Drosophila melanogaster: one gene and its partners. The protein of the gene in region 2 interacts with the protein of the main gene of each other region in a pairwise test. Each region holds a gene or a part of one and is shown on either strand. Other genes may lie near its edges.

Evidence for each region.
Region 1: the proteins of Cph (region 2) and CG17344 interact in a two-hybrid assay, tested with the Drosophila melanogaster proteins (one large-scale study listed by BioGRID).
Region 3: the proteins of Cph (region 2) and sage interact in a two-hybrid assay, tested with the Drosophila melanogaster proteins (one large-scale study listed by BioGRID).
Region 4: the proteins of Cph (region 2) and GATAe interact in a two-hybrid assay, tested with the Drosophila melanogaster proteins (one large-scale study listed by BioGRID).

The regions. Positions count from the first base shown.
Region 1 is NT_033779.5:19,098,982-19,105,104, forward strand, and holds CG17344 (uncharacterized protein), read left to right. Parts: upstream 1-3,062; 5' UTR 3,063-3,123; intron 3,124-3,186; coding exon of another isoform or gene 3,187-3,369; 5' UTR 3,370-3,406; coding exon 3,407-3,871; 3' UTR 3,872-3,928; downstream 3,929-6,123. Other genes in the region: CG43731 (uncharacterized protein), read left to right, coding at 3,187-3,369.
Region 2 is NC_004354.4:7,223,374-7,230,945, reverse strand, and holds the start of Cph (chronophage), read right to left. Parts: upstream 4,492-7,572; 5' UTR 4,015-4,491; coding exon 3,960-4,014; intron 1-3,959.
Region 3 is NT_033777.3:9,259,879-9,266,814, reverse strand, and holds sage (salivary gland-expressed bHLH), read left to right. Parts: upstream 1-2,672; 5' UTR 2,673-3,072; coding exon 3,073-3,740; intron 3,741-3,801; coding exon 3,802-3,940; 3' UTR 3,941-4,161; downstream 4,162-6,936. Other genes in the region: TrpRS (Tryptophanyl-tRNA synthetase), read left to right, coding at 24-219, 286-697, 756-1,335, 1,407-1,511; ATP6AP2 (ATPase H+ transporting accessory protein 2), read right to left, coding at 4,643-5,209, 5,472-5,824, 6,048-6,090; Ibf1 (insulator binding factor 1), read right to left, coding at 6,565-6,804, 6,859-6,936.
Region 4 is NT_033777.3:16,009,241-16,020,134, reverse strand, and holds GATAe (GATAe), read right to left. Parts: upstream 7,862-10,894; 5' UTR 7,397-7,861; coding exon 7,352-7,396; intron 3,908-7,351; coding exon 3,570-3,907; intron 3,427-3,569; coding exon 2,493-3,426; intron 2,425-2,492; coding exon 1,929-2,424; intron 1,871-1,928; coding exon 1,540-1,870; intron 1,479-1,539; coding exon 1,382-1,478; 3' UTR 1,002-1,381; downstream 1-1,001.

The DNA of each region.
Region 1 (6,123 bases), on a different chromosome or scaffold from region 2:
ATGATAAGCGGGAGCGAACATGGGTGCGCTAATTGCGGAATGATAAAACCACCAAGTAGTAGGTATCCAAGTCGGCTACCATGGGTACTACCTCCCGCCCGCCTTGAATTGATAACAGCCCCAGGGGCTAAGACCACGAAAATGTTCCACCAACCCGGTTGGTATTGCCAGGATTTTGGATTGCGTTAAAAATAAAAAGCGCCCCGGAGGTTATCCAGAGTTGCCAAGCCAAATGTCGAAATACTCTATCTAAATGTTACATTCTTATTTATTACAGTGAAATTTTTAACTAAACTTCTATATACGATATTCATAGGGTAAACAAAAGTATAAAAGCTAGAAAGTTGACAGAGTAGCGGGTATCTGATAGTTTAGAGATTGCACTATAGGTGTACTTCTTGTTGTTAATGTAACTATAGTTTGTTTTAATCGAAAGGCAATTTTGTCATTACAAAAAGGAACATTTTCTAGTATTATTTTAAAATCATACCAAATGTAAGAATTCTAAACCAAGTCGAGTACCAAGCCCTTTGTATTTAACATGATGAAGTCATAAAACTCTCTGCAAGGTTTTGACAATTAAATAAAATAGGAATTTGTATCTCTGCGCACTTTGTTATTGCCAGCGTTTTCGACTCGTATTTGCCTAAACCGGCCCCTCAGGAATACCAGAAAGCTCCTGAACCCCAACACGTTGCTACAGAGTTCTGCGATGGATGGGGTAGGGCATCAAGGATGTTACTCCGGGATTCTCCGGGTTGTTGGCAGCTTCGAGCGTATTACATAAAATAAGAAAAATTATGATTTCCGCAGGAGGGTGGGGGGAGGGGGGGGAGTGGAAAGTGGAAAGCGTGTACATTTCGGAGGGGCTGGCTGTTGCTTAACTGTCAAAATCGTGTAATTTAATAAAGTTCGCTGCGGGATATTGTTTTTTATAGAAGCCAGAGCAGGACTGAGACAGCTTTTGCCAGCTGCCAAACGGGGAGTGGCTGCTGTTTTTCACGGAAGGGGGGGGGGGGGTGGTGGTGGGGAGAACGTGGAAATGGGGCTCCTAAAGTGTGCTGCACAAACAAAAAATATTCAGTTCACTTCAGTTACATACGGCATATTGCAACAACGCAATGCTGTCTTGTTGCCCGCCACAGGCACTCCACAAACACACTCAAGGGGGGGTCTATCTAGTATACCCTACATATATATATATAGATATATATATATAGAAAAATATACATCCCTATGTATGAAGAGAGCTGCGAAAAGTTTTTATACATTCCACTTGTTTACTTCAAAGCAGCGAAAAAAGTTCTTACTTTGCGAAATACACAAAACTTGTGCGTCGTGGTAAGTGGAAACCAAATAAATGTTAGACTAAATAAATAAATATTACTTCAAGTTTTATATTCCAGTCCTCAAATCCACTTAACATCTTTAAGCGTACAAAATATTTTAAAAAGATGTGTATTTATGAATCAATAATAAAAATAAAACGCAACTAACACAAGGAATATTCACTTTTATAAAAAATGGGAAATACATTTATATGTTAGGACTTCCTAGGATTTCAAAAATTTTACTGCTTTTATTTTATTTTTAAAGTTTATTTTATGTTTAATCTTGTATACTTTTCATATAAGAAGTTACAGGTAAAAATTAGTACCGTTTCCAAGCCTATAAAGAACTTGTATAGCATTCTAAGATACAATTTCATTTTCACACTCATTGAATTTTAAAGCAATGATAATTTCATAATTTTGTAAAATATTTAATACAAGACATTCCTTAAATCCCACCTTTATATTCCTTAACAAAGCTAATTCAGTTTTATACATGTACATATATGTGATTCATAGCTACAACATGATTCTCCCACAAATTGGGCTTTAAGGTAGAATTTCTTGAAACATACTACTTCCAGTTTCGTACAATAATTGTCTTAGATTTCACATATATGGCTTAAAACCAACCTGAATGGCGCCTTAACAAAGCCAGTCCCAGATGTCTTTCTATTCTCAGCTGACGTCCCCAACCATTTGTGTGCCGTTTCTTTTTACGAAGCGAAATTCCTATTTTATTTTATTAGCAGCGAAGAAATATAAAAGTAAACAGTTGGCTCCAAAAACACACATGACTGTGTACACCCTCCTGCCGAAGTAAAAAACGCCCCACGCCTCCCCTGTTTGCCGCGTCATATGAACGCCCCATTATTTACTTAACATAACTTGAACATTCGCCTTCAACCCCCCACAAAAAAAGAAAAGAAAAGAAAGCTCTTCAAGGGGGAGCATCAAAGTTCTAAAAAAAAAAAAAGGAAAGAGAAAAAGGAAAATTCGAAGGTGGGTGGTTAGAAAATGGTGGGGAGGTCGTCGCTTGGCTTACCTGCCAACCAACCAACCAGCCAGCCGGCAGTTGGCTAGTCAAAAAGCTGTCGTCGATGCTAAGCGCAGACCCAGAAAGTCATCAAATATGCAGAAGGTGGAAATGTGCAGGGAGGCTCCACCATTTCACTACCATTTGCTATCCCAACTCCCCGTCAACCGAAAACGGAAAAATGGCGAAAAAATGATTTATGTGGACGCCATGGAGGAACGGAGTGGACGGCAACGAAAAGCCAACAATAACCGGGAAAAATAACAGAATCAACTGATTTCTCAACTTGGCTCTGAGCCTGCTTTTGTTTGCCAGACTTTCGACGGAGAGTGCGGAGCGGGGGGCCTTGGATAGACCCACAATTTTACCTTCCATTCGGGACTTCATTCTTGTTTTTGCCGCAATGAAAAATGCTGAAAGTGTGCTCCACAGACAGCGGACTCCAATGGTATTGGGGTCACCGAGAAGGTATAAGATATTGATGTACCCAGGGGAGCTGCTTTTCCTGTACAGCTCTATTTTTGGAAAAATAACAAGATCCTCATAGAGAAGCTGCATGGGATATTAGTTTTCATCGGAAGCTCTATTTATGCAGTAAGCTTTCATATATATGTATATATGCTCTAATAATAAACAAGGAAGCCCTACCATATTTGTCAAATTCAACTCGATAATTCATTTACATTCCGTTCCTTAAACATATAACAAGGACACCAATTTCGGTCCGAAATTCAAAATTCAAAAAAAAAAAAAAAGGTGAGGACATAAATTATTTCAATATAGCTTTTCTATATAGTATATATACTTCTTTTCACACAGATGTCCGATATCAATTTGACTGCCTATAACGCCTTTCGCCGCGATTTGGCCAGGATATACAAGACATTCAGTTCGTATACTCAAACCGATTTTACTGAGGATTATGGCACCAACACAGACTTCGATTGCCCAGCCGATGTGGAATCAAATCTTTCCAAACTTTACGATCTCGAACTGGAATAGTAGTTGCATGTGGTAGAAGAGAGTTTATCCGATTGAGATGGAGAACAGGGTCAAGGGAACGCACTCGGAGATCTGTATGGAATCTAGCAGAATAAGGCATCTGCAACCGCTCAGATCGCGATCCCAGGATAACGGAATCAGATTATTAGCCGCAAGAAGCGATTTGGCGATGACACCATGGTCTCTACCATCGGAATCTCCATCTGAATCGGATGAATCCGAATCCCAAATCTCAGGTTACACCACAGAGAGTAGCTACCGAACGGTGCCTGGTTACGAGCTCCTTTCGCAAAGTAGTTCGTATGCCAGCAGACAAAATCCCTACGCGTATCCGCCAGCGGACTTCCTCTGGGAGATCTACGTGCCCATCCATAGTGGAGCCACTGAGGAGGACATCCAGACCGTTCATGGGGAGTTGCGGGAATTGCTGGCCAGCGAGATGCATTTAATCAGAGGCGCAAATGGACCAGTGATCTATCTAATTGCATACAGCTACATGTGATCACTTCTTACACATTTAAAATATATAAACCACAATAAAAATAATTATTCAATCCCCATTTGCAGCATACAGATTTATTATTCCATTTAATATATTTTTTTGAGTTATAAAAATATTGACCTCCGGCAAATCCAGTCCACAAAACATACCAATATCTTCAAAGCGAATTGAGCTCTTTTAAAAAGTCATCTACTTAATCACTTTTTCGACTACAAATGATGGGCTTGCCAAACTTCGTTCAGCCTTTTCAATGGACAATCAGTTCTCGAGTGAAGTGTTTGCTTGTACTGCGTGATCTGCGCCTGTTGACATTATGACAAATTACATAAGCCAAAGGCAACAATTGCCGGAACCCATTCCGGAAACGCGGGGAAGGAAGGAAAGAGGGAAGGAAGGAAGGGGGAACAAACCGAAAACGGATACGCTTAGAAGGACTTGGAGTGGTGGGGGGTTTTAGGGGGTGGTTCGGGCTGTAGGCACGTTAATAGGAAAGCCACACAAGAACTGCTAACGAAGGACACGCGGCCGGCGGTTGAGCGACAAGTGCGTTGGGAAGAATTCCAGTCACACACAGGACACAAGGACAACGAGGTCCTGGCAGCGGGGTGGATCGTCTGTTTGCCGAGCACTAAGTGCGCCGGGCAAGTGGAAATGATAAACATATTTACACAATTTTTGACGGGCGAACGGGTGAAACAAAACACCCGTGGGTACAGTCGTACCCTTCACCCCTTCCCCCTCTCCCTCCACCACACCCTCCCCGCAGTTTTCCCATTTCTTCGCTTTTCTGGTGCGCGTACGCACTTGAAACAAGCGAAAGGAAAACCAAACCCAAACTCGATAAATATGTTTATGTGCAAATAACAAAATATTTGTCGATTGCCCGAAACGAGTGATGGGCGGGGTGATGGGCGGACTTTGGCTTCGGGGTAGGGCAGGCTCTAAAGGCAGAGGCAGCTCCAGGGTTTTCAGGGGTTCCAGGGGTTCCATGGGTTCGAAAGAAGCACCGCAAGCGCATAATTCAATTTTTCTGCTCGTTTTGCACATCGCCCGGCACACGTCACTCGAGTCCTTTGGGACACCGACGAACTGCCATGCTACACCAGCTAAGCCCAGCCCAGCTACACTGCGAGAAAAGTACACAACTACACTGCAACAAAAGAGCAGTAAATGAAACATGAAGGTTAGAAACAAGATTCAACATTACTAAAACTTCCAGTTTCATGAAGTGTGTAGTCAACCAGAACTCCAATCCTTTCCCTTGAAATGTGCCCAGATTTAATCATGATTAAAGTTCAGGTTGGTTAAGGTGTTTAAGATATCATACTGATATTATAATAATATATTATACTAAGAATACCTTAGATTTTCCGTTCCGCTTCAAATTGGACCTCTACCAAAAACGGGATAAGTCATTCCCGACTTACTGGATTTTTCCAAAGTGCACGCACTTTGTCAGGGATGCAGTGGATATTAGTGACACGTGGCGAAGGCTCGACCAAGGCGATCCGCAGGTCCCAGCACATGCGGTTTCCCGGATCCGTCCCCCCCCCCCCTCCTTTCCACCCAGGAATCTATATTTATTTGTTTGTAATTACGCGTGTTCTAAAAACGAAATCCCGCCGCACTTGAAGCCGGGAAAATGGCTAAACGGCTGAGCCTGCTCTTTTCAATGCCCGAAAACTTCGGCCGGGAACACACGTGCAGTGGACGACCGCCTCCACTGGTGACCGGGTATTCCCAGCGCATTAGCAACAATGCCGGAGACATTTGGAGTTTGTCAACAGTTTCGCATTGGATTTGGTTACGGCTTTGTTCTCATCAGCGGCGCGTGTCCCTGTCCGATGTCATCTTCTCCACTCTCGACGCGACTCAACGCGACTCGACGCGACTCGACTCGACTCCAATCCGCAGTCAGTTGTCAACTTTCTGGGCTGGCTTTTAGTCCGGGGATTGCCGATTGATTTGGCGTGGGATTTTCGAGTGCGGCACATGTATGAAACGAAATCATAAATGTGACAGGCCTGGATCATAAGCAACTCGCACAAAGAAATCCCTTTGACCATCCTTGAGCCATCTCAAGCAGCAATAAATCATCTCCTTCGGAGCCATTCACCATGCATATATCCTCAAAGAAAACTTTCTGCCGGAACTTTGCCAGTTATATATATTGCAGGAAGTCCCCTCGGACCATACATTTATTCCGTGGCGGAGTGCATAAAAAAGCAGGCGGTCCAACCGAGCAGCCGCAA
Region 2 (7,572 bases):
TTGTCCGGGCATTTTACGGCTGATTATTAGTGGTCTTATTTATTGATTGGCCGGCATGCCATTGGCCAGGCCCAAAAAGAAAAAGAAAAAAAAGAAACGCGGAACAGGTAAGTGCAAAGGTGAGCTGCTCTTTTACCTGCTGTCTCGCGGCTAAAGGGGCGTGGTCGAGCAAAAGAAATGGCCGGGGGCGTTGCCCGATGATATTTGCCTAAGCGATTAGATTAGATGTTTGCTCACAGATTAGCAAAGACAGCAGTCACAGACTGCAACTTACGATTATTTATGAAAAGGAAAACTTATTGACAGCGTGCACAATATTGCGCCAGCTGAAGAGGGTTAATAATGCTTAGGAGCCAGGGGGGCTGAACAAAAAAAAAAAAAAAAGAAGTGAACAGAGAACAGGAGAAAAAGGTGAAAGGGTGTGAAGCTGTCAAATGTGTCAGTCCGCCTGACAAGTGTCAACAGAGTCCTTGCCAAATAGATTTCATAAAAGTGCCAGCTTACCGAGACCGTAAAGTCATAAATTGCATTAACCCTTTCGGGCAGTGACCAAATCGAATGCGATTTAAGCAGATCAAATAGTCAATATATACTCGTTTATATGGGTAGGACAAAGGACTGGATTATTCTATTAATATTTGATATTTTATTTTCATAAACGAAATCTGGAAGTTTTACCACACTCCTACCACCCAATTACCGAGTAATTTGCTATGCATTTCCGATCTCCTGATAAAGTTTCACATTTTTGCTAGCTGCGAGAATCAGAATTTATTAGCTAGTGTGATGTCATTGGCATCTTTTACCCTCTTGCATATATGCGTAATTAATTCAGACATTTTCTCCCCGCATTAACAGAAGGAAAAAAAGCCGAAGAAAATAAATTGAAGTGCGTCGATTTGTTAACCGCGCAGCTTAAGTCAAATATTTACGAGCTGCGACTTTGGCCTAAAGCACTCCTGGCCATTTAATGCAAGCCTGCGGCCATTAATATCACCCCCCCGCCCCACCAGACATTGGTATATATTTATATATAGTTGGATGTATCCTTAGGGGTAAGCCAAGTAGGACAATTAAGAATTAACATATTAATAGAAGTTTTGCGCAAATTATCAGGACAAGAAAATATGAAATTCGTTCAACTTCTTGTATTTTTGTTATTTATAACGTTCTCGTGTTATTGACTGCCCAGGGGATGGGGGCGTGGCAGGCCGAAAACAATACGTTGATTGTGCTAATTTATGCCCCCATCCTGGCAGAAACACACACATGTGCAGAGCCAAGGAGTCGAAGGATTCGGTTTTATGGCCCAAAGGTTATGGGTGTCTGCTCTATCTGTGGGGATGCCATAAAAACCAGGCAGAGAGCGCCACACGGTCGTCCTCGTCGTCGGCTGTTTTTAGGTGCTCGCTTTCGTAGGACGCAGGACGAAGGACACAGGACCCCGATGAAAAATGGCGTCAGCCACGAAAAACTGGACCAACTATCCTATCTGTGGGCAAAATGGTGGAAGACAGCGAAACTTGCGCCTCTTTAAGCAATCACAGTTGTTATTAATATTAAAGTAGAGAATATGGCAAGGAAAAAGACAGTATGTATATGTATCACCATTCATTTGCAATCACTTTGCCTTCAATGCTGCAAAATCGAAAACTAAAGACAGCTGAATGGTTATCCAAGTGCTCCACTTCGTTGACGGGTTGTTAAATAAAAAAACAGAGTAGAAATAATAATAACGAACGCCCCGAAAATGCTGAGTAAATATTTAAAGACAACGCTCTTTTTTTTTTTTTTGTTATTTCGACTTGTTGTATTGTTTTTTGGCCAACTCATTTAAAAGTTTAACAACAAAAAAGGGTTAAACAAATTCAAAATTCTGTGGCAGGCGATAACAGTCGGCGTGGGCGTAGTGGTAGTAAGTATATATATAAATATGTAAGTGTTGTGTCCAACAGGCGGTTGAATTTTTCTTTTATTTTATTTATTTTTTTTTTTTTTTGGCTGACAGTGACAAAGCGACGTCAGCAGCTGAAAAACTGAAAATCAACTGGAGTCGGAGCGGCCCCCGGACTTAATTTGTTTAAACAAATTATGTGTGGATAACATAGCGATACGGATACGTGGAAAGGTGTTTAGCAGCTGAAACTATAACAAACAGAGCGCGATATATCGTACACATGCACATAGTGTTTTATATTATATATGTACATATATATGGTACCGCCTGAAATTACAATGATTTCTGTTGTGCGGGGGCGCAACAAATACGAGTATCGAAGCCCCGAAGCCTTATCACACCGGTCGCCTTCGCAAAGTGTTTTAGCATACAAAATTTGGTTTTATTTGCCTACTGTCCCCCAATAGAGCTCGTTTTCATGGTGGCTCGCGGGGTTCACGGGGTTTTGGGGTAAAAAAAAAAAAATAAATAAAAACGAGGAGAAGAAGCGGTTAGCCAAAAGCTAGCGCTGACTGCTGATAACACCCGCATATGGCGGCAAGGTAAGCGACTGGATATCTGGACAAACAAATGAGCAAACGAATGGAACCCCGACCGTAAAACCGGAGACCGCAGACCCGTAGACGGACGGACAAACGGACGGTACGAGCCCACAGTTACCCCGCCAGGTTGAGTGAATGAGCCATATGCAAATATGGTCGCGGCCTGGAATCGGGCATTAACATATAGTCCACGTGTGCGTCTGTCTGTGTGTTAAAGCTGGACACACATGGCGACTGATAAGCCAAAGGAAATGGGCACAAGGTATGGGCACAACAACATTAAATAATAAAAGAGCATTCAACCGAAAGTGCAATACAAATATATAGCAATTAATATTTAAATATAGCCAGGTGAAAACTTAAATGTATGATAGTTAGTATGTTTAAATTTAAACAGCTTCTCATGTTTTTGCTTTGAATTTTTTTTTTATTTATGGGAAACTAAAGCCTAGTTAATGCCACACATTAACAAACTAGATAAGGTATTATTGATATATTATAAATATAGCTCATTTCCTTTCAACTATTCCAGGTTTGAGTAGGTTATCTAGTTTTATTCTAAGAATCTAAGAAGCGATTAAGTGCAACTGTACTTCCGGTTAGCTAAAATCCAATTGGTCTTTTGAAGTCGTGCGTTGTTTGAACATCCGTTTGTAATCGAAATGTAAGTTTGAGGTGGACCGATGGCAAAAGACCCGCTCTATTTGCTTAGAGCCAATGAAATGTTCCCATTGTTGCTCTCTGCTCACTTCTTTTGATAAGACATATGTGTGGCTTGTAAGTTTTACTTTTCATTTTCAGGTCGTTGTTTTTTACCCTGCTCGGTTTTTTTTTTCGTTTTTTGTCGCTAAAATATTTGTATTTGTATTGTGAGCAAGGTGCAGAGAGGCGATATAGAGAAGTTTGTTTTATTTCCCGAAAGTCAACGACAGTCACGACGGACATATGTAAATATAGCTGCGATCCATATAGGTAGGTAAGTAGGTTGCCCCCTCTTTACCCACACTATACACCGCTGGGTGTGTGTGCTGGTGTGGGTGCGGGCGTTGGCTTATTGTTGTTCTGGTTGTTCTTCCCAGTACAGCGCGCTTATCAAAAATTGTCCGCACATTTGCCCGGTTTTTGTTGTTATTTTTTTTTTGTTGTTTTGTATCTATTTGGGGGACAACATAGAGCGACAACGGCAAATGATTAAAGAGACACCCATGAACACCATGGTAAAAAGAAGTACCGCAGCAAAACTGAACAGAACAGGAAGAGCTGTTATAGGAATTTCTGAGAAGTTCCAAGAAATGCTGCGGTTATCTCCGTCCAAGATACACGCCTCTGGGCAATTGCTTATTGGGGAAATATTTTGGGTGCTCTTGATTATGATATAACAACGATTTTAGGGTTCGGTCACTCAAGGCATACCACAAATTAAACTAATGAGCTTTTACTGTTTTTAATTTTAAACTTACGGCTCAGCGAACGGAATCCATGATCCTCACTGATCGACAGCATTTTGTTGTACATCTTGATTTTTGTATAAAAAAAAAAATATTGTGGTGTCTTGTGTTTTGTTTTTTATCTTGTTTTGTTTTACGTTTCAAACTTTTAACACATCACAAGTTATTGTTGTTTTTGTGGTTTTTGGTTTAAAAAAAATAGTTTTGGCATTGAAAAAAAAAGTGAAAGGCACAAAAAGATTGTAGTGACAGACACACACGATCGTAGGTAATCCAATTGTCCTGCGTGTGGTTGTCCTAGAATGTTTGGTTTTTCTTGTGTTTTTCTTATATTTGATGAGCACTTTCACAAGACACGAAGCGGTAACACAGTAACGGTAACGGCTGCGTATCGGTTGCGTATCGGTTAAACCGTTTCGAGTGATTGTGGGGAATGCGAGTTAATGTTTCGTAAATCGACGTGTTTGTCGGCCGAAGGATCTAAATCTGATTTGAGGTCGTGAGCAGTGTGTTGTTGACCCCTCGGAGGCTTCACGTGGACTGACAACTAGTTGGCTTCCTGGGACGCTCGAGGGTCGACGGTCGTCGAACGTTCAATCCTGCCGCTGAGGCTGTGCCGTCGCCGTCGACGTCGGCAGAGACAGCGTTTTTTACTCACACACAGCGCACACACACCGCTCTTCATTCCCTTTGACCCTCGAGGGTCGGGGCTAAAAAAAAAAAACCATATAGGAAAAAAAACGTGTGTAGTCACCACTACACACACACACGCGCGTGCAGGGGTTGCTGGCCCGTCTCCCTCTCTCCCTCTCTCACTCATGCCCTCTGTACCTCTCCCTCGCACATGTTCGAGTTGCGAGTGGACCAAAGGCAAAATATATGGGAAATAGGGGGATGAATTCATCTCTGGACGACTACTGTCCGTTGATGCCAGCGTCTACGCCGACCGAGGCAGCGACGGCGACTACGACTGCTCCCCCGTAACCCCCCCCCCCCCATACCTTCTAAAGGAAAAATCTGTCTACTCACATGGATAAAGGAAAACTATCGACTGTCCGCCGCTAATCGCTGCCCAAATTGAGCTGTTACGCACAGCAGAGGGTTAAAACGCCGGCGAGGGAGTGTAACTATAACTATGTCATGAGCATAAAGATTGGAACAGGGGGAGCAGCAGTAAGGGTGTTGATAGAGCGAACGGGTTGTCGGGCAGCGAATAACTGACCAATGACAGGGTCGCACTTGGGATCCTAACTAAAGATAGGCCTTAGAAGTGCCACAATAAAATCATAATTTAAAGTTCAATTATAACATATTGATAAAAGTTGAAGTATTTTAGGCTTAACTAAACACTCTTTCAAAAACACCAGGAAATTTTTTGTATATTCATATTACTTTTCTGAAAATCTACCAATTATGTTCGAATTCGAAAAAGTAATTCTTTAGGCTAATTAAATGAATAAATGCAATAATATCCTAGTCCGTAGAGGTCATAAAAGGTTATGACAAGCCAAAGATATGGATTAGGTTTGTTATTTTGAAGTCAAGCCTAGAAATAATTTTCGTATCTCGAAAGAATAATTACTTCTTATTGGCTATTCTTGATTAAGATACTCGTCCGCTGTTAAAATCAGTACGAAGTGTTTGAAATTAGTTTAGTGGGCATATAGAGTTCTGTAATACCATACTATGAAGTTGTTAGTTTTAGATAGTTTCTAGTTCTTGGATATCGAGTTTAGCAAGGGGATCAGATTTAGTTCGTTCATAAAGCAGGAGGGACATTGGTGTAGCAAGGGGAATGCTCGAGTTCCGTTTTAGTTGAGTGAGCTATTTATGGAGACAATGCTCCACAGATCCTGGAAACGTCGGAGTTCCTTGAACTCTCTCTCTCTCTCTCTCTCTCTCTCTCTCTTTCTCCAAATCTCGGCATCGTTTATCCCAGCATGGGATGTGCGCAGTTCTCTCTGGAGTTCAGATCGCGGAAGCTGCGCAATAAGTGTGGCGACCAGCCCCGATCTCAGAACCCCCCTTCCCCCTGAATACATATATCTAATAATAGACGGGATTCGGGGAAGGAGATGAAGATGGAGATGGAGATGGACAGGCGGATGCGTAACATTCTCTAAGATTCTCTTCTTCTGCCTCGTTGGTTAATCCTTTCCCATTGTCACGAGGGTAAACGAATTTTTTTGTTCCTCATGTGTGTTGTTTTTTGTTTTTTTTTATGTTTTTTACTAAACCATACCACGGGCATAACGAACCCTGGTTTTTTTGCGCGCGCTTTTGATTTACCCCTCGGCAGGACTAAGACGCGGCGGCGCTTGCGCAGATGCGAGCTGCCTTGTAAAAGGATGCTGCTAATGTCCTGGAACGCTAAGAAGAAGGCAAAACAACAAAAAAAAAAAACTGGTCCCTGTCCTTTGTGCGCTTTAATCAAACGCAAAAGGGGCGGAGGGGAGGACATCCAGGCACAGGACATCCAGCCCGCGTCCTGTCGCCTTGCAATTATTTTTTATGCAATTTTTACCGATCGCCGCCTGCTTTCCTCAAAGTTTCCTTTTGTGTTTCTTTCGATTTCCTTTGTCCCGGGGTAGTGTGATTTTTTTTTCCCAACCGTTCTGTTTTGCAACCCCCTAAGGATCTGCGGAGAGTTGCGAATTCTGTGAGTCCTGCCCGAGTCCAGGTAGCCTCACTGTGTGCGTCGTGTGTGTGTGTAACGGCATTTTTTGTTCTATGCAAATTTTTTTTCCTTCCCCGATATTAATTTTTTATGCCCCTCGTGCGTGTCCTTATTGTTTTTTTCTCGTCCTCCCGATTTTGGATGTGTGTGTGTGCGCGCCTTGGGTTTCCTTTTTCCGTTTTTTTTTTTTTACTTTTGGGTGGTGGCCAAGATTTTCCCAAGATATGAATCGCGAGGGTTGGGGTGGCGTTTGTGTCACATGTGAGGCAGGCAAAGGTTTTTTTCGCCTGATTTAGATAGAGGGTCCTGGACGAGGACAAGGACGAAGCAGCCGGCGCAGCTTCGCATTGATTACCGTCGCTTTTTTAATTCAATTCAAACAATGATAAAAAGGAAGATGGTCTTGGGTTTCGTGGGTCTCTCACCCTAAGACGGGCAATTGTCGTCTCCCCTCCTCGGATGTTGAATTTTTTACCTTTGCATTTTTTCTTACATTTGGCTGTCATTCTTTTGGATAATTTTCCCTTGATATTCACGTTTTCCTGGGCCAGCAGCTTTGGTTTAAATGAGCAAATCTCACTGGAAATGCATTCGTTTTTAACGGAAAATTTATGGCATACAGGAAGGGTGACCGGTTTTCGGGGGCTTTGCTCCTTTCGGTTTTTGTCAGATTTTTTGGTTTTCTGGGTTGGCTGGTTTCTGCGTGTTGCAGATAAAAATCCTGTGGCAAGGACTTGGTATTTTTTTCTAGCAAAAAAAGCGTTGAATGAATATGGAAATTTGATCGGTTTGTAACGGTTTTACTAGCGGATCAGCTAAAAAACTTCGAAAAATGCAAAAAGCTAGCGAACATAAATTAAATTCAACAAAAAATATGTTTTAAAAGAAAACTTGTTTGTCCTGCGAAAGTTCTTTTGCAACCAGATCTTGATTTTCATACTTTTTATT
Region 3 (6,936 bases), on a different chromosome or scaffold from region 2:
TTCTTAACAATCAGACTGACAGAATGGCGGACACCAAGGAGACGGTTGTGGAGGGCGTGGAGGCGTTGACACTAAATGGAAAACCGGACGCAGAACCCGTGGAAACGGGCACGGATGCCCAGGCACAGGAGGGAGCCACTGCACCCACTGAAGATGTTGTGGATCCATGGAATGTGGCCAGTAGTAATGACGCGGGCGTCGACTATGATAAGCTGATAAGTAAGAAGACATTTGCAAGGCAAATTATTAATCAAGTTAATCAAACGACATGTTGACACGTTGCAGAACGGTTTGGCTCCAGCAAAATCGATGAGGAGCTTATCGCGCGTTTCGAGAAAATCACGGGAAAGCCCGCCCACCACTTCATCCGAAGGGGCATGTTCTTCTCGCACCGGGATCTTCATACGATTCTAACACTGCGCGAACAGGGCAAACCCTTCTATTTGTACACTGGTCGCGGTCCCAGTTCCGGATCCCTGCACGTGGGCCACCTGGTGCCCTTCATCATGACCAAGTGGCTGCAGGAGACCTTTGATGTGCCGCTGGTTATTCAATTGACCGACGACGAGAAGACCTTGTGGAAGGATCTGAAAGTGGAGGATGCCATCAAGCTTGGACGTGAAAACGCCAAGGATATTGTGGCCATTGGATTCGATGTCAACAAGACGTTCATTTTTAATAACCTGGAATTCGTGGGGTAAGTAAATTAAAAAACTTTTAACCTGTATAATCTGTATTATCTATATTACTTACAGAAAATGTCCTGCCATGTATCAGAACATCATTCGCATCCAGAAGTGCGTTACCTTCAATCAGGTCAAGGGCATCTTTGGCTTCGGGGACTCAGACATCATTGGCAAGATTGGTTTCCCAGCCGCTCAAGCAGCTCCCGCGATTTCCAGCACCTTCCCCTTCATCTTCGGCAACAGGAAGGTGCACTGCCTCATCCCGTGCGCCATCGATCAGGACCCATATTTCCGCATGACTCGCGATGTGGCTCCACGTCTTGGTTTTCCCAAATGCGCGCTCATCCATTCGACCTTCTTCCCGGCGCTGCAGGGTGCCAAGACGAAGATGTCGGCTAGCGACCAGAACTCGGCTGTTTATCTGACGGACACGCCCAAGCAGATTAAGAACAAGATCAACAAGTACGCCTTCTCCGGAGGACGCGTATCTGTGGAGGAGCACCGCAAGCTGGGCGGAGTTCCGGAAGTTGATGTCTCCTATCAGCTGTTGAAGTTCTTCCTGGAGGACGATGCCAAGTTGGAGGAGGTGAGAGTGGCTTACAGCAAAGGCGAAATGCTTACGGGCGAGATCAAGAAGCTGGCAGTTGAGGTAAGTGCAATGATGATGCTACAATCTTCCCAAAAAACATTGTAATTAATGTGCTCAAATGATCTTCTTAGACGCTCACACCCATTGTGGAACAGCATCAGGCCGCCCGCAAGCTGATTACGGACGAAGTGCTGGACAAGTACTTCGAACTACGACCCCTGAAGTTCGGAAGTTAGAACGGTAGCCGAATTGAGGTACCTGCATTTGCTTGACATCGATTCTTACTACCAGTTTATATGAAATTAGCTTAAATCGAACTAAGCGATATTAGTTTAGCACCGAACCGACTAAGGCACTTCTATGTAAATAGCTATACAGAATTGATCTATGCCTTGGCTCTGAGTCCGTGTGGCGCCCACTTAATGCATCGTTGTACTCGCTATTTATTTTATTTTTTACACAGCGTGTTTATTTTTATAAAGCAGAAAACAATAAACTTCGGCTTCGATTTGCAATTGCCACCACAGTGACCCACATTTGGGAAGTTGTTAGCAAGTCTATACATTTTCCTGGAAACCCGAAACGTTCAGCCAAGGAGAGAAACAAGTCAACTCTCTAGGTTTCCCTAGAAACTACACTCTGCTCATATTCATTTCCGATTCCGGGCAAAGGTGCCTCTCTGGTTAGCCAGCTAGCAAAATAACTCTCGACTTCGGAAAAATGTAAGTAATTTTCTCACTTCTAGTTGTGTGTTGTTTTTTTTTTCTGGTAACCCGAGATCTTGCACATGAATTGAATTTCGCGGGCTATCAGTAGATATTCTTCTAGTTTTTTCCTTGCGGTTTATAGTTTCAGGAATTCTGAATTTTCGGAAGAAAAAAATAATTTGCTAGTTAATTACTATTAATTAAAGAAGATATGTAGTAATAATGGAAACTGTGCTCAATATCTCAGTCTTTTAAGCAAGTATCTATTTCAATTAAGAAAAATCATAAAAATAGGTATAGAATATGTAATATAATTTTTAATAGGATTATAAGAGCACTTAGCTGGCGATCACGGTTTTTCATTGACTAGAGAGAAACCAAATTAGTTTGAAATTAGAATTGGGCGAAGTTTGGAGCTAGATTGGCCAAGCTTAGGTTTCTTACCTTCATATAGACGAACCTATATTCATAACTAGCTATATGCATATGTGTGTATTTTTTAATTAAGTCAAAACACTTGTGTTTACATGCGTCGAAAATACACTCTTTCATATGGGCTGAGTTCCAGTGTGGGTGTTTGTACATAGCGACGATCAAAAAGAAAAACTCAAACTGAAGTTGTGGCGACGATCGTCGATCGCTGATCCCAGAGAGGGATCCGACATAAGTCGGACGCAACTCCAGCCTGCCACACGCGCCTCGATCACCATTCGCAGCCGTCGGAGTCGGATCGATCGGACAATAGCGAGGAAATTAAGCCGCTTTGTTTGCACAGCGATTGGATGGGACAAAAGGACCCTCGACGACAAGTTGGTCCCCTATAGATCACCTGTTGACACACGTACAAAGCGGTGGCCTCTTAAACTAGACGAGATGTGGCCCTCATCAACCCCGGATGAGTAGTCACGTCTCGAATCGATGGATCGATGGTGAGCCATTCATCACGATCGCCAGAGTCGTCTCTAATGCAACTAAAAGTAAGCAAAACAAAAAGGTACAAGCTAAAAAAAAAAAAACCAACCGAGTCCAGGTAAACCTGCTGCAGTCCGGCCAGAACTCTTGATCGGTCATTCGAAAAGCGGCTTAAGCGATGACGGATCAACTGCTGAGCTCCACGGCCGGCGTACCGGGTGATCCACCGCCAGTTTTGGTGCCCGTATCAGCCACCACCGGTGGACCCTATTTGAGCGGTGGATCCGAGGGCGAGGCGGAATCATCGGAACAGCCCGTTCTTCTAGAGCTCGGTGCCCCTCAATCGTCCAGTTGTCCGGCAGTTAGTCTCAACTACACCCTAACCGCGGATGGAGCAGGCTTGCTGGCATATGCGCCAACTCATCCGCATAGCTACTCACCCAGCGTGATGGGTGGCTACGAGAAGGAAGCGCACAATATGGGTCTGTTGCCACCCACATATAGCGTTATACCTCAGCCGGTGTCGATGTGGCATGCTGGCCAGGTGGCCACCGGTTCGCCAGTGGGCTTGGAATGCAACAAACCCAGTGAGCTGGTACCTCCGCCCATGTATATGAGCTATAGCGGCGGTAGTATAGCCAATAGCACTGAGGTGGACATCGCCAAAGAGCACAATCCCGCCTGGCGGGAGAAGGCGCTGCAAATGGAGAAGGACTATAGACGCACCGCCTGCGATCGGGAAAGAACCAGGATGCGGGACATGAACCGAGCCTTTGACTTACTGCGCTCCAAGCTACCCATATCCAAGCCAAATGGGAAAAAGTACTCCAAAATCGAGAGTTTGAGGTAAGTGAAAGTATCTGCGGTAGAGCTCTGTAATATATTTATATGATCTTTGCCTACCCAGGATTGCCATCAACTACATTAATCACCTGCAGGCCATGCTGCGGGAGAGCTCCGTGGGTCAAAATGGCAATGGATGCTGTGCCTGGAGCGGCGGAAGTAGTTCACCTTATGATAATGGCAACGATCATTGGGGAGCGTAACTTGAATTAACGAATATCAAAGGGAATTCATTTAAATATTCAATTTAAAACTTGTGTTATATTATATCCGCAATTTGCCAAAGTCATTCCATGAACCTATAAAAGTTAAGGTCCATACTTTACGATTTTGAGAAGAAAAAAATTGAAATAGCTTTCATTTTATATTAGTTTATCATGTTAACCTTTTTATAAGTGCAATAATTAAATAAATTATCAAGAATACCACGTATGATTTCAATTATCATTTGCCCCAAAAACTAGATAACAAAACCAGGCGCAACTTTGTCTTTTTAGGCTATATATATTTAACTTTACTTTTCAACACTTCACATTTTGATAATTTACATATGATGAATCGTTTGAAGAACTGACTGACTTGGCGAGTATGTTGTGCATATTCGTATATATATATAAACCTAAAAAGTACAACAAAACAGGAAAATGTAACAAATTTCTATGGAATTGTTGCGACGCCCGCAACTGCATTGAAAACTGAAAAGTTTTTTAATACTTATTTATAGATAATAAAACCAACTACTGCGACAGCTGTCCGCACACACACAAACACACAATTTATCCGCTGTTGGATTGAAGTAGAAGTTGGCAAATTTCAACTTAAAAGGGGGACGAAATAACAAAGCGTAACGCAAGCTCCTCTCGCTCCTCCTGCTCCTCTCGCTTCTCAACTCCTCCTGCTCCTCCTTAGTTGTCCTTCTTGATGCGGGTAGAGGTCATGCGGTAAATGATGGAGTCCCTGCCGGGATCCATGGCAGCGATGGCGTAGCAGATAGCCAGCAGAGACAGTCCGAAGACGACCATGAACCACAGGATGATGTTGAAGATCACCGGGTAGTCGCTGCCGTAGTAGACGGCCAGGTTGTAGGGATTGGTGGTGGAAGCGGCAATGGTATCACGCTTGGCACGCGATGCTGCCACGTCCTTCTCCGTGGTCTGGACAAACAGAACCGAGTCGCTGGACTTCTGGGAGGCAGCAAGCAGGCGGCTGATAGCGGCCGACAGCAATTTGTTGGCCTCCTCCACGGCCACGGACTTCTCGCCATGAGCCTTGGCCACTCCATCGACGGAAACGCGCAGCATCAGGACATTCGAGGGCTTGGCCATCTCAGCCAGATGATCGGCGGCACTGTTGATGAATCCAACCTCCTGGAGGAACTGCTTGTCAGCGGTGTGCAGAGAGGGGTTCAGGTGCTTGGTGGGCTTGGCGGCTGGGGCCTCGAAATCACCAAAGCAGGACTTCCAGGCTTGAACCTATAAAAAATATGTGGTTAAATATACATTGGTCTCTACGTTATATGCGTAAGGGGGAAGGCACTATGATTCACTCTATAAATCATGTGATTAATTAATTTTTAAGGTTTAATAACTATCTATCATATTTGTGGGAAGTTATAGCGGATTGTAGAGAAGCTTCTTTAAACGAACTTTCAGATGAAGATCATGCTTTCTGCGGTTTGACAAATTAGCTAACTGACTAACGAAATGTGCTTTTCCCCTTTAAGACACCACTTACGCCATCGTCGAACTGCTCAAAGTTAATATCGCAGACGGGCTCGTTGGCTGCCTCCAGTTCGGCGGCCAGGGCGTTCAGAGAGGCGTCCGTTCCGGAGCCTGTCAGCTCGTAGGTCTTGACGTTGCCGGCGGTGGTCACGTGACCAATGCCCTGGACATGCACCAGAATGACGCCCTTGGCCAGGTTGAAGGGATCGTTGATGGTCAGTCCGTTCCAGTTGGTATCGCCGCTGACGGCGTTGCCCATGGAAGCGTAGAGTACATCACCCACGTAGTGGCTTTCCAGTGCATCGTTGCCCTTGAAACTGATTGCCTTGGGACGGTTCAGCACGGTGAATTCGCCAGAGGCATTGACTGCAAAATAGGAAGACGTAGCTCATAAGTTCTGTAGAATCTAACATATTCGTCTCCTTTGTCCAAGATTCTGCGCATGCATGTGGGGAGCCCTTTGGAGTCCCGAGTTCTGGGTGTCACCACCCCCAAAGAGGAATCGATGAGTACAGAATATCCACTTTGTGACCGCTTTCCACTTGCTGCGCATGCATTTTACTTGATTATAGATGGTAGATCTACTTACTGGCCGCTATAAACAGCGAGAAAATCACGAAAACTCTCAACATTTTCAGTTTTCCGCTGGACTTTTAATCATATGACGAACGACTGCAAAGAAAACCTTTTCTCTTCCCCGATATCACCCTGACTATCATGTGATGAACAGGGTTGCTTGGGGTCAGTTATCGAATGGGTATCAGTAGGGTTGTCGAAGAGTGCGAACTATCGATTGTACTAGTATTTCTAGTTTTATTTATTATGTATTTTTATTTATTCAATAATTTTGATGTATGTAATATTTATGTATGTAAGCATTAGATTACATCGATTTTAATAACACTTGTAAGCATTGCATTATTACATTATTATTTAATAAAAAGATTCGAGTAATCAGGCTTAAAATAATGTATTTTGTAATCACCTTTACAAAGTTAAATGTAATAAATCTATGTTGAATTCAAGACAGACATTTTCGTCATCTTAACAAAAATTAAGGGTTCACCATGCGGACATTTAAAAGTTATCTATAGTTAAAATACATTTTAATCGCGTAGGGCGTCGATTTCCAATCGAAGCTTCTGAATCTTAAGCAAAGTCAGTGTGCGCTCTACTTTTAGATTGTCCGTTTCCGTTTTAAGAAACTTGGTCTTACTCTGGAACTGACTGATCTCGGCTCGCGCCTTTTCCGCTCGCAATGCAGCTAAACCATTTCTTGGCCTGGCCTCGATGATCGTCGCCGATCCATTGGCTAAGTCATCCGGGTTTTGCTGCAATATGTAATGCTGTTCGATAATCGTTAAAATGTCTAAGATACTTATCAAATTGTGAATATTTACTTCTTTGCTTTCGTCCAGGTACTCAGAGTATTCGGGATTTTTAATTTCAACGTTGGAAATTTCAAATTCCAAATTTTG
Region 4 (10,894 bases), on a different chromosome or scaffold from region 2:
GAAATGATCAAAAAATAGCATAAGATAACCATCAGAGATAGAGAAATATACATTCATTTCGATTTACAACTTTAAATAAGATTTTAGCCCTCTTTGGAGCAGTTTTACAATGCCCGAAAAAAACAGAAAAGAAGTGAATATTTTCTGGTCAGCTTGGGCATTTGTAGTGCTAGTGTGATCATTCCTATGCTGTCCATTATTTTCTATAGTACTCCACTAGTTCCATTCCATTTCGATGCCCTCGAATCCATTCCATTCCACTTGCACAACTTGACGCTGCACATAATTTTTGCCAACACATTCCATAGCTGCCGGGTGCTGGGACCGCCGTCTCATTACTCATTCGCACCGCAGTCTGGAAACCGCAACCAACTTGGGGCTTCGGTCCAAGTGGTAGTCTCTCCAGTGGAGCCGCGGCTTGAGTTCGAATCGGTAAACTTGGAGCGCCGGCCAGAGCGGACGCTAATAAAAGCGGTCGTAAAACAAGTTTGCCTAATTGATCGAGCGTACGCCAAAAACAAAAAGAAGGCTCGGACAAAGAGAGACCCCAAGCGCAAGGCGTTAATACCATACCTCCTTCGACTCGAACTCAAACTGGACTCCATTCCCGGGCTGTGGGGCATTTTTGCCATACCATGCCATACCATCCGAGCCATGCCATCCGTACCGCCGACAGCAGATCAAAGGCAGCGGCTGCGGGCGGTGGCGTTACTGTGCTTCGGACAGGCTTTTAAGCGATGACACCAAATCGCTATTTAGACACTGCTCCAATGCTTCGGTGATCCGCGCGAGATCTGGGTTCCTCGTCTCTGGGTTGCCCCATCGCGGGTCTCTTGCCTGCCAACTTGTTAAGATTTTATGGTCTCGCGCTGTGGTCCGTGGGGGTCATTAAAATTAATTTGGATCAATTTGGTTGGCTGCCAAATTGTTGACAATGAAATATAACGATCTCCACCAAGGTACCTCGCATCCTGGTAAAGCCATCAAAGTCCGAGTGCCTTGCGTTTACAACTTATTTATTTTGTAGAATTAAAAAGAGGCTTAAACATACAAAATCGTAGGCTTCATTATGGGCTTGTGCTGTCTTGGGCTAAACTACCTCTATATAGAGTATAGCGATCCTAAGTGGTTGGCACAAATCATTTCAAAACTATTTGCTGTAAGCAGTTGACTAAAAGGAGGAAGACATTTGCACAGTTAAATGGTTACTCAAGACCCGGAAAACCCGGCAAAATCTTCCTCTAACTGGGACATTGGTCTTGGCTATATAGTATGACTAACGGCTAGGGCTTAAATAAATATTTTGGCAATTTTTGAAATTTGGGTTTGGTTAACTATAGGTTACTTTAGTGCGTAGCTTAAGCCATAAGTCAAAGCTAGCTTAGTTATTCGATGATCGCTCTGGCAGACCAGTGCGCGTGATTACGCTGGGGGTCAGTTCAGTGTTGGAGCTGCGACTGCTTTCGATGGTGGGTACTCTATAAGGTATGATTATTATTGAGGAGTCCGACAGGGTAGCGAAAAGTATCTTTAACTTACGGCTGAACTATCTGACGGTTTATCGGCACCGTGCCGGGCAGATGGGGCGATTGACTCTGTGGCGTTGATTGCTGACTGTAAGGAGAATGGCTCTCGCCGGTCACGTGATGACGGGCGGACATGTTGAGCGTTCCGTCGGGGGTGGGCGGCGCCGTCGCATTCAGCGAAATGGACACCACCCGTTGCCCACCCGCTTGACCCGTCGTCGACATGTCGTGCAGCTCCGGACTGGAATTCTGCTGGCTATTAAGCTGGCTATTCAGCATGCTAACTGGCACTTGGGAAGGATACAGCGGACTGTTGGCCATCAGGTTGACTCCCTGCGACATGCCTGGTTGGGAATTGGGATTAGTTTATTGCATACTGTAATCCCTGGCAGGTGTACTCACTCGGCAGCGGTGCTCGGTGCATGGGTGCTCCTCCGTTGTTCTTAGGCTTCCGTTTGCGCTTCTGGATGCCCTCCTTCTTCATCGACAGCGGTCGGTTCATGTTGTGCAGCTTGTAGTACAGTCCGCAGGCATTGCACACCGGATTGCCCTCGTTGTTGCGACGCCACAGGGTCGTCGAGTTGGTCTGACAGTTGGCGCAGGTGACCCCGTTGCGCCGGTTGTTGGGGGCGGCGGCGGCCTTGGGCTTCGCCTGCCTCTGGGTTATACGGGGCGCCATCCGCATAAAGGCCGGGCAATTGGGACAGAAGTACTCGCTACCCTTCCGCAAGAACGGCCCATGGCAGTTCTCGCACTTTAGCTCGTGGTTGGGCGACGATGTGGACGAGGCGGTCACCAGACTTCCATCGTACTGCCCTATGCTGCTGGCGGGCGGCCAGTGGGAGGTGCTCATATTGCCGCTCCCGTATTCATCAATAACCTGCGGATGGAAGTTGCTCTGTGCAGCATGCGGGAGAACAGTTAGTATGTACCGCCTCAAGAACCAGTAACTTAAATTATACTTACAAATTGAACACTCTGGTACTCCGGCGGGGCGGGAGATGCCCATAAAGGCTCGATGCCGTTGCCGCCCTCAAAAGATATCGTCTGAAAAGTAGCCGGTCCAGTCTGGCGCAGCAGTCCAGTCTGATTTAGGCCAGACTCGGACTTGGCCAAGAATTGACCGGTGCCCGGAACACTGTAAATAGTGTTTCCCTGCTGAAGCGTTGCCGCATAGCTATTGCTACTGAAGCTGGAGCTGGGCGGGAAGGGGGCATATGCGTTGCCTAGGTCGGCGTAGGTCTTGGACTCGTTGGCATGCACACTGCCATCCACCACGGGTACATCGTAGTACATATTCGAGGCGGATGTCTCCGGTCCGGCGGTGGTGAAGCGTACATCCTCCGTAACGAAGCGCACGGTTCCACCATGCGAACTGGTGGCAATGTGAACCGTCTGGGCCGCCGCCGATGCTGCAGCTGCCGCCTGGTGTTGGTGGTGTTGCTGCTGATGCTGCTGCTGCTGGTGCTGCTGCTGCTGTTGGTGGTGATGCTGCAGTGCCTCCGCCTCGCTGCTGATCACTATGGTCTCGCCGTAGCTAGCTCCGTTGGGTGTGGGACATTGCTGTTGCTGCTGATGCTGGTGTTGCTGCAGTTGCTGCTGCTGTTGTTGCGACTCCCCCGTCGCCTCTCCCTTCTCGAGTGTTTCGATTTTGATCGCGGCCACATCGTCACCGTTGCAGATAATAGGATAGGCGAAGATGGTGCCCGGCGGAGCTCCGGCAGCAGCTCCCACCTGTTCCGTCACCTCTGCGTTGCGTGGCGCCATCTGCACGTAGTGAGTGGCTCCGGGAGATTGGTGTGCACTGCGCTGGTACTCGATGTGGCTATCCGAAGCAGATCCTGAGCTCGCGTTGCTGGCGTTTGTGCTCGGTTCTCCTTCACGAGCTTCGTTTAATTCACTGAAATGTTGTTAATAACACTGTTAAATAACAATGGTAAATTGTAACTATCGATTGCCATTTGCATTAGATGATTGTGTTTAAAAATGAAATTTGTGAATGCTTATGTTCTTAGGAAAAGAAGGTCTCCAGAGGTTACTTACAGTGTGCCGGCTGTGGTGAGAATACGGCGCTGGTTGCGTGGCACCACCACGTACTGCTCCTCCGGTTCGCTGACGCCCGCTTGGCCCGTCTGCACCACCACGCCCACCGATGTTGCGGCTTGCTGTTGGTGTTGTTGCTGCTGCTCCTGCTGCTCATCCAGATTGTTGGCCGTCTGCTGGGCCAACTGATCGGCGCCGTTGCTGGACTCGAGTTTGATTTTGTCCAGCAGTTGAAGCTGCTGCTTGGTTAGAGCCTGATGCTGTTGCTGTTGCAATTGTTGCTGTTGCTGTTGCTGTTGCTGTTGCTGCTGCTGCTGCTGCGTTGTCTGCTGTTCCATCTGCAATGAGCAAGCGACAAGTGTTGAATGCCATGTTTCGCCCGGCTCGTCTCAAAAGTGTGGCTCCAGTTCCGGCCGTTGCAGTGCGAACTGCCCGCCTCGGTTTCCGCCACAAAAGTCAACAAGACGCAAGCCCAACCAAGACCGCTGAGACGGACTTCAAAGACACCGCCCGCGCTCGACTCACAGCTCAATTTGTCGCCTACAACCGTAAAGTACCAGAAACTGAGCCGAACGGAGACGGGCTTGGAGGCGACCCCTCTCCTTTCTACCACTCAGTTGCTCAGTGTCAACATTGTCGAACACATTTTTCACTTTTATTCCATTTCATTTCCACCAGCAGAAGTATTTGCTCACAGAACCCTAAACTCAGAGCGGTGCCTTGGTTTCGTTTTCATTTTTCTTGTGTATTCGTGGTTTTTTTTTTTTTTTTTTTTGGTTTAGTTTGGCTTTTGGCGGAAATTAAACTTGGCCATAAAATCGCTTTGCTTTCCCCGCCATACGTCAGTCGCTTTTGGGTTTATGACCTCATTCCGTTGGGGGTGGCACTTCCACTTCCACTCCAAAGCCCCATACCCATCCCCATCCCCATTCCCATCCTCGAGCTTGTGTCAACACATTCGATCGTCACTGTCACCTGATTCACGATGCGGCCAGGTTGAAATTTACCGCCAGTCCGCTCATGACAAGTGCCATATAGCTCAGAGGCTTTCAGGTGGTTTCCACCTTTACCATGGCTATAAATATACCAAAAAATGTGTGTGCTTATGTGTAACCATCACCACCGTCAATTGAGGAAATCCACAGCAACACTAAAGGAAAATTTTTGTGGCCATTGAAATATATTGCAAAGATAATTGCTTTTAACTGAGATATAACCATATACTTGTACAGGTGTTTTTTTTTTCCGAAAATAATCACCACGCTGAATTGATTTAATACATTCCATAAAAATCCCCACTCTCCCTTTATATGAAAAAACTAATACTTTATCTTCCATTTAATGAAAATTGATTCACTTTCGCAGAACTTTAGGTTGACGTGCCACAAATGATTGATACATTTTTTGCGTGGACACAAGCCAAGTTCAATGATGATTCAGTTGGTGACAAGCCGTAAAAATGAAAAATCTAACGCTTACCAAGGTACAAAGTTTAATTACTTATGTGGAAGGCATATAAATGGGGGACGAAAGAGTTCCATGGAAACTGATTGCATTCCGCCGGCGGTGATGACCGTGCCAAGTTTTCAACGTCTTGGCCAAAGTTCAAAGAATTCCCTGGATGGAAAGGGTGCGAGATAATGTGGTGCAAACGTCACTTCAGACAATCGTCTGCCCGAAATGCAGATAAACCCGACTTTGAGTGTGTGTATATAGTAGTAGTACGATAGGTAGGCCCCCATGCACGTGCCATGTACCGCGAAAAAGTTAAGATACTACGGCCGAACGATACGGACAATATCTTATCCGGGCGCTATCAATGTACATAATCAGCTGCTGCTGCTGCTGCTGGGACTGAGAGGTCATGGTTGGTATCCCCCAACTGCCCGCACCCACTCTCAGTTGCGGCTACGTCATCAATAGGGACAGATATATCCAAGAATTACAAAAGTTGTGCAAGCGATGTTTGTCACCCGAGAATGGCAATGGCATGCGCTATTTGCTCGGCTTAGTCAAGAATCGTTGCGAGGGTGTGGAGTCCGCTGAACTTATGAATGAAATCTGCCCAGTCACACCCACAACCATACACACACACACACACACGTACATTTCGTACTTTATCTATATAAACAAAAGATATTGACTATATAATCGCACCTCGTTTCGCTTTCGTTGAGCTTGGGTTCGTGGTTGAGCAAATTTCAAAGGCAGCTCTGACCAAACATTTTAAGGCATTTAGAACTGAATAGAACTATAAAACTTGAATATAATGCAGTTGTGATGAATGCTATTTTTGTTAAAATTCTAAATTTCTCGAGGAAATTCTTTGCCAGTTTTACTTTTTATTTTAGACTTATAAAAAAATATGAACAATTTCTTGGGTAAGACTGCTTAAAGGCTAAAGATGTGAGAGCACTTTCAAAATATCTATATAATTAACAAAAGAATGGGAAGTAAATAAATGTACCCATTTTTGGATATACATTTATACCCTTTATATCTGCCCTCGTTAGAAGATCCTTCGATTAATTAAACTTCACTGCAGTTGGCTAATGAAAGTGAGATAAGACTCTCGACTGCCAGCTGCATTTACAGCTCTATTAAAGGGCCATCAATCGCAACCTTCGCCCTCTCTCCTATCAGCCATCATCCACTGTCAACTGGCGACGCGTGTCTAATAAAAGTATCTGCAACTGGAACTGCAACTATCGATGCCGCCATTGAGCAACTGTTAAGGGACTGTTCTTCCATTGGTCGAAAGGACACTTCCGGCAGGATAAAAAGTACCCCCAGATGAGCCAAGGGTTGGCATTCATTCACAAAACCAACCCCAAGCCCATGAAGGATACGCTAGAGACAGGGATAAGGAGCAGGACCAAAGCGAGGTGATAAGATTGACATAAATTTCACATTATCCGTGGCCAGCAAAAAATGGGTAAAAACAGTCCCTTTTCATGAATGAAGAGGAGCGAGCAGTTGAAAGTCGGCTGCGTGTTTCAAATTTTATTTTTGTCAAAGGTATTTTGACGCCACCTTCGATCGCAGCTGAATTTGGACCTCATAAAGATTAGCCATCTTTCCACATTTAACTTGCTTTCTTGTTGCCCCGTTTTCGTACCCATTCTCGTTTTCTTAATGGTTTCGGTTCGTTTCGGTTCGGTTTTTCTTCCAAGAGCAGACACCAAAATAAGTGTCGCAGTTTGCCGCTGCATCCCAGATGACTCATTCATTATAAATCAATTTGTCTTATCTTATTTCCCTGGCGCTAGAACTGAAAAAAATCCATATCGCTGCCGTTTGCGGGCTAAAATCATTTTCTGGCTCGGTACACCGAAGGATGTAAAATCTATATGGCTATTCGAGCTGTAAATACCTTTGAAAGCTCTTTATACTCCGTTAATTAATAAATTAATATTTATTCGTGCCTTGCGACTGATCTATAAACTTGAACTATCTGCTTTTAATGACCCTATATGGCCTGTCTATTTAGCTTAATGAACTTGTGTGAGAAAACGTTAAAAACTTTTATGATCTTTCAACAAAGTAGAAATGATAGATAGGCTTATAGAGATCTCGTAAATGAGCATCAAAAAGGTATTTAAATGTTTTTAATAGAGTTCACGTATAGTTGCTTTAAGCGGTCAGGTTGATATTCTCCATTCCGATATGGATTTTAAACGGAATTGGTTTTGAAAAGAAAATACCGACTTGGCAAACTTAATATATAATACCCAAAAATTACGCTGACTATTTTTGAATAATTATAAGTTTATTTTACCCACCTTCAGCTGCATGTTTACACTCGGTGAGATAGTTTTGCAGACCATCAAATTGAAGTTACGCCGCTTCTTTGCGTTTCTTCCAGCGTTTTATCTAAGATTGGTTTTTATCACTTGATTTCAGTTCTGTTGTGTTTTCAAAAATTTATCACAAGCACGGCTTGTCCAGGTGTTTGGTTCACTTCTCCTATCAATCTGGGCGCCCGAAAAAGTGCCGCGCAAAGTGAGCAAGTGGGGAAAATTGGCGAAAATTGACGAAAATTGGTAACTTGGGAAAGTAGGAACTTTGGAGCTTTGGGGGCGATCTAATGCTGTCACCCGTGGGGCGATTGTGGTTGTGGCCCGCGCGCAACCTTTGCCAGTTAGCAGTGATACGAAGTGCTATTTTTTCGAGACCAACTGGGCTCTGGTGGTGGCACTGGTCTCCGGTCTATGGGCTCGATACACTAAACACTGAGCACTCTGAGCACCAAGCACCTCACTTGCGATGACAACAACGACGGCGACGCAATGCGGTGCCTGCGGCGCGTTTGCCGCCCAATTAGCTACCCACACCGATGAAGATCCAGCGCCTCTGCGGTTGGGCGGCCTCACACCTGTGTGGGTGCGTGGTCCTGTCGGTGTGGCAGCGTTATGATTTATTCTGTACCGCCTCGCCTGGTATTGGTTATCTTATCGACACACATGCGATAAGATACGCAACGAGTGTTGGTGCCACGGTTGCGATAAGTATCCGTGAGATACAAATTGCGCCTGCGCGCTCGGCCGATTTTCCAACACACCTATGTTACACCAATGTTCCGAGGTTTCCGAAGAGTGGCGTCAAGAGGCCCACCAGCCGGCACAGTTCAGCCAGCACCACATTTGATTCCATTTCCACCCTTCAGCGCTCCTCACCCTCGCCCCCTGCTATTTGTCAATTGTGCAATTTAGTCTAGCGCATTTTCTAATTGCACTCATAAAACACTTTTCTGGCAAACTAATAAACTCGAGCAACGTTAGTCAACGTCAACAGAATATCATCGGATCGGGCTTGGGCCTGGAAAGTGGGACTGGGCATGGGCATGGGCACGGAAACTTTATATGACCCCACGAACAGTCGCCCGAATGTGGGCCGCTTTGACAGCTCGACTGCTCGGTTGTTGCGCTCCACTTCCACTTCTCCAGTTCTTCTAGTTCTCCACACTTCACAATCCACTCTCGAGTGTTGTAACTAATAAACACCGCCGGAGGAGGCGGAGGTGGAGGGCAGGAGCACACGTGGTCGAGGATCAGGTGCGGCGCATATATTGCAAAACCCCTGAATTGTCACCAGCCAGGAAAAGATTGAGTTTGAAGTGGTTGGGTGATTGGAGTGCTTGGTCAGAAATCTGATATATTTTTCAACCTGTCAATTACAGATACTTTGTAAGCAGAGATGTATGTGTAGATAAATATTGTAAACATATCTTTACTATATATAGGGATGTAGTAGCTAAATAGTACATTTTATAATAAAATGTATATGAAAACCATGACTTAAATTCTAAAAAATTCAATCTAGGCTTATATGCTTAATGCTAAGCCCCTATGGCAATCCGTACCAACTCCTTGCTTTCTTTTCTTCGAAGAGCTGCAATCTGTAAGTTAGCCACATATCTTGGCCACCCAGCCAAGTTGGCCCAGCGAATCATAAATTGTTTATAGTTAAAGTCATAAAGCAAGCAGATATATGACGGCCATTAACATGCACAATCCCCTCGGAGTTGCTTATAATGCCACAATTACGGGCAACTTTCCGCTGCTCCCATGAATGGAAATCGAGTTGAGGCGATAATTTTAATTGTTGCAACGCATGCGGTGCATAAATCATGGGCAAATCTTAAGAGCAAAACCGGCAGACAAAAAGTATCTAATAGTAGCTACTGCTGCGTGTCGCGAAATATCTGTGCGGTGATTAATCACTCAAAAAGTTGACGGCTATGCCAGTTTCGATCGTTACAAATGGCGCTACACGAAATCAACATTACAGGAGATTAATGCTGAGGAGGAGGACTCCAAACTGGATACCCGGCCACAGGACTGACTCATCGAGGTGGCTCTCTTGCCACGGCAGAGCCGGGCAATTAATACCCTAATTGATGGCACCGCCGCGCCTAGCTTTAGGTGCTTTGCCGGCGAATTTACGACCCTAAGACGGAAGACTTAGGGGCGGCGAAACAGACAGAGTCTTAAGATTGCTGACCATGGCATATCGTGTACACCCGGAATCGTACACCCTTCAACTTGTCCACCTCCATGGAGTTTCAAGTGCTATGTCCGTGAAAGACCATAGAAGCGAACCAAAACCTTAAGAAACCATAGCCTAAAAGTTATCTAGCCTCAAGTGTTCTCGGCCAGTTGACAGTATCGCCGATCTTTGTCTGGAATGACGCTATGGAATTTAATTTTTATATATTCTTTATTGCGCTCTTGTTTTGGTTATAATTGTATTATTTTTCTAGCTTTCCTTTTTGGTCTTTTTCCAATTTTGTTTGGCGGCACAAACGGGTTGTTCTGATAAGGGGAAGAACTCTTTGGAAATTAAACGTGCCAGTGGCAACAAAGGCGTGCGCCATAGTTTTAATTATAGTCGGCAGCAGGGGTGCGATCCGATTCGATCCAAAGTCCCACCCCGCATGGCTGGTTGCCCAATCCCTGCCAGCCGCAATGGCGTGGCTCAATCGAATAAAAATGGAATGGAAAGATGGAGATGCAAATGGAAGTGCCGTAATGGCTCTCCCTTTTGGGCGGCTGCACTCTGCGCTTTGCAACCGCTGGCAAATTGGGTTCAAGTAAATTCTATTAACCCGCGCCGAGGTCATAAATCATCCGGCCAAAGCACGCTAACAACATTTCGGACATGAGTTATGAAAATGGAACTGCGCACTCCGCACTGCGGGATTTCATGGTCCCAGGTGGAGGAAGAGGCACTGCCTACCAGCTGGAAGAGCAGGAGGTCCAATTCCGCAGAAGGAGCTGGCAAGGAAAAAGTTAAGCTTTCTTTGTTTACGCTCCGAAGAGTTGTCACTTGGCTAACGAATGTTCATTCGTTTATTTATGGATTGGACACTCGGACAGTGATGTATCTTTCGAGTGAGTCAGGGGAAAGTTCGGATATCAGAGAAGAAACAAGAGTTTTTGTGGAGGAGCTTGTTGAGGAGCGGTAAGTATGTTATTAAACCAATAACTTATTATTTATAACCAAAACTAATACAATTTTTATCCATATCTTACTATGATTTCAATTAACATACATTTTCGATCTAATGCATATTCCATTCCAACTGCATAGCCTCTTGCGATTGGCAGTGGTCTCTTTTTTGTGAGACTCTCTTGCTTGTTTGTTAAGTATACGCACCTTTGTTTGCCAATGGGGCCAGGTTGTGACTCATCACTATAACTGGCAATCCATAATAATCCGACAGAGGTGCTCAGTGCGCTTGCTGCTGGGCATTGTTTTGGCTGGGAAACGTAAGACATGAAACGGAGGCCACAACGGCAACAAAACAGCAACGACATCGACGC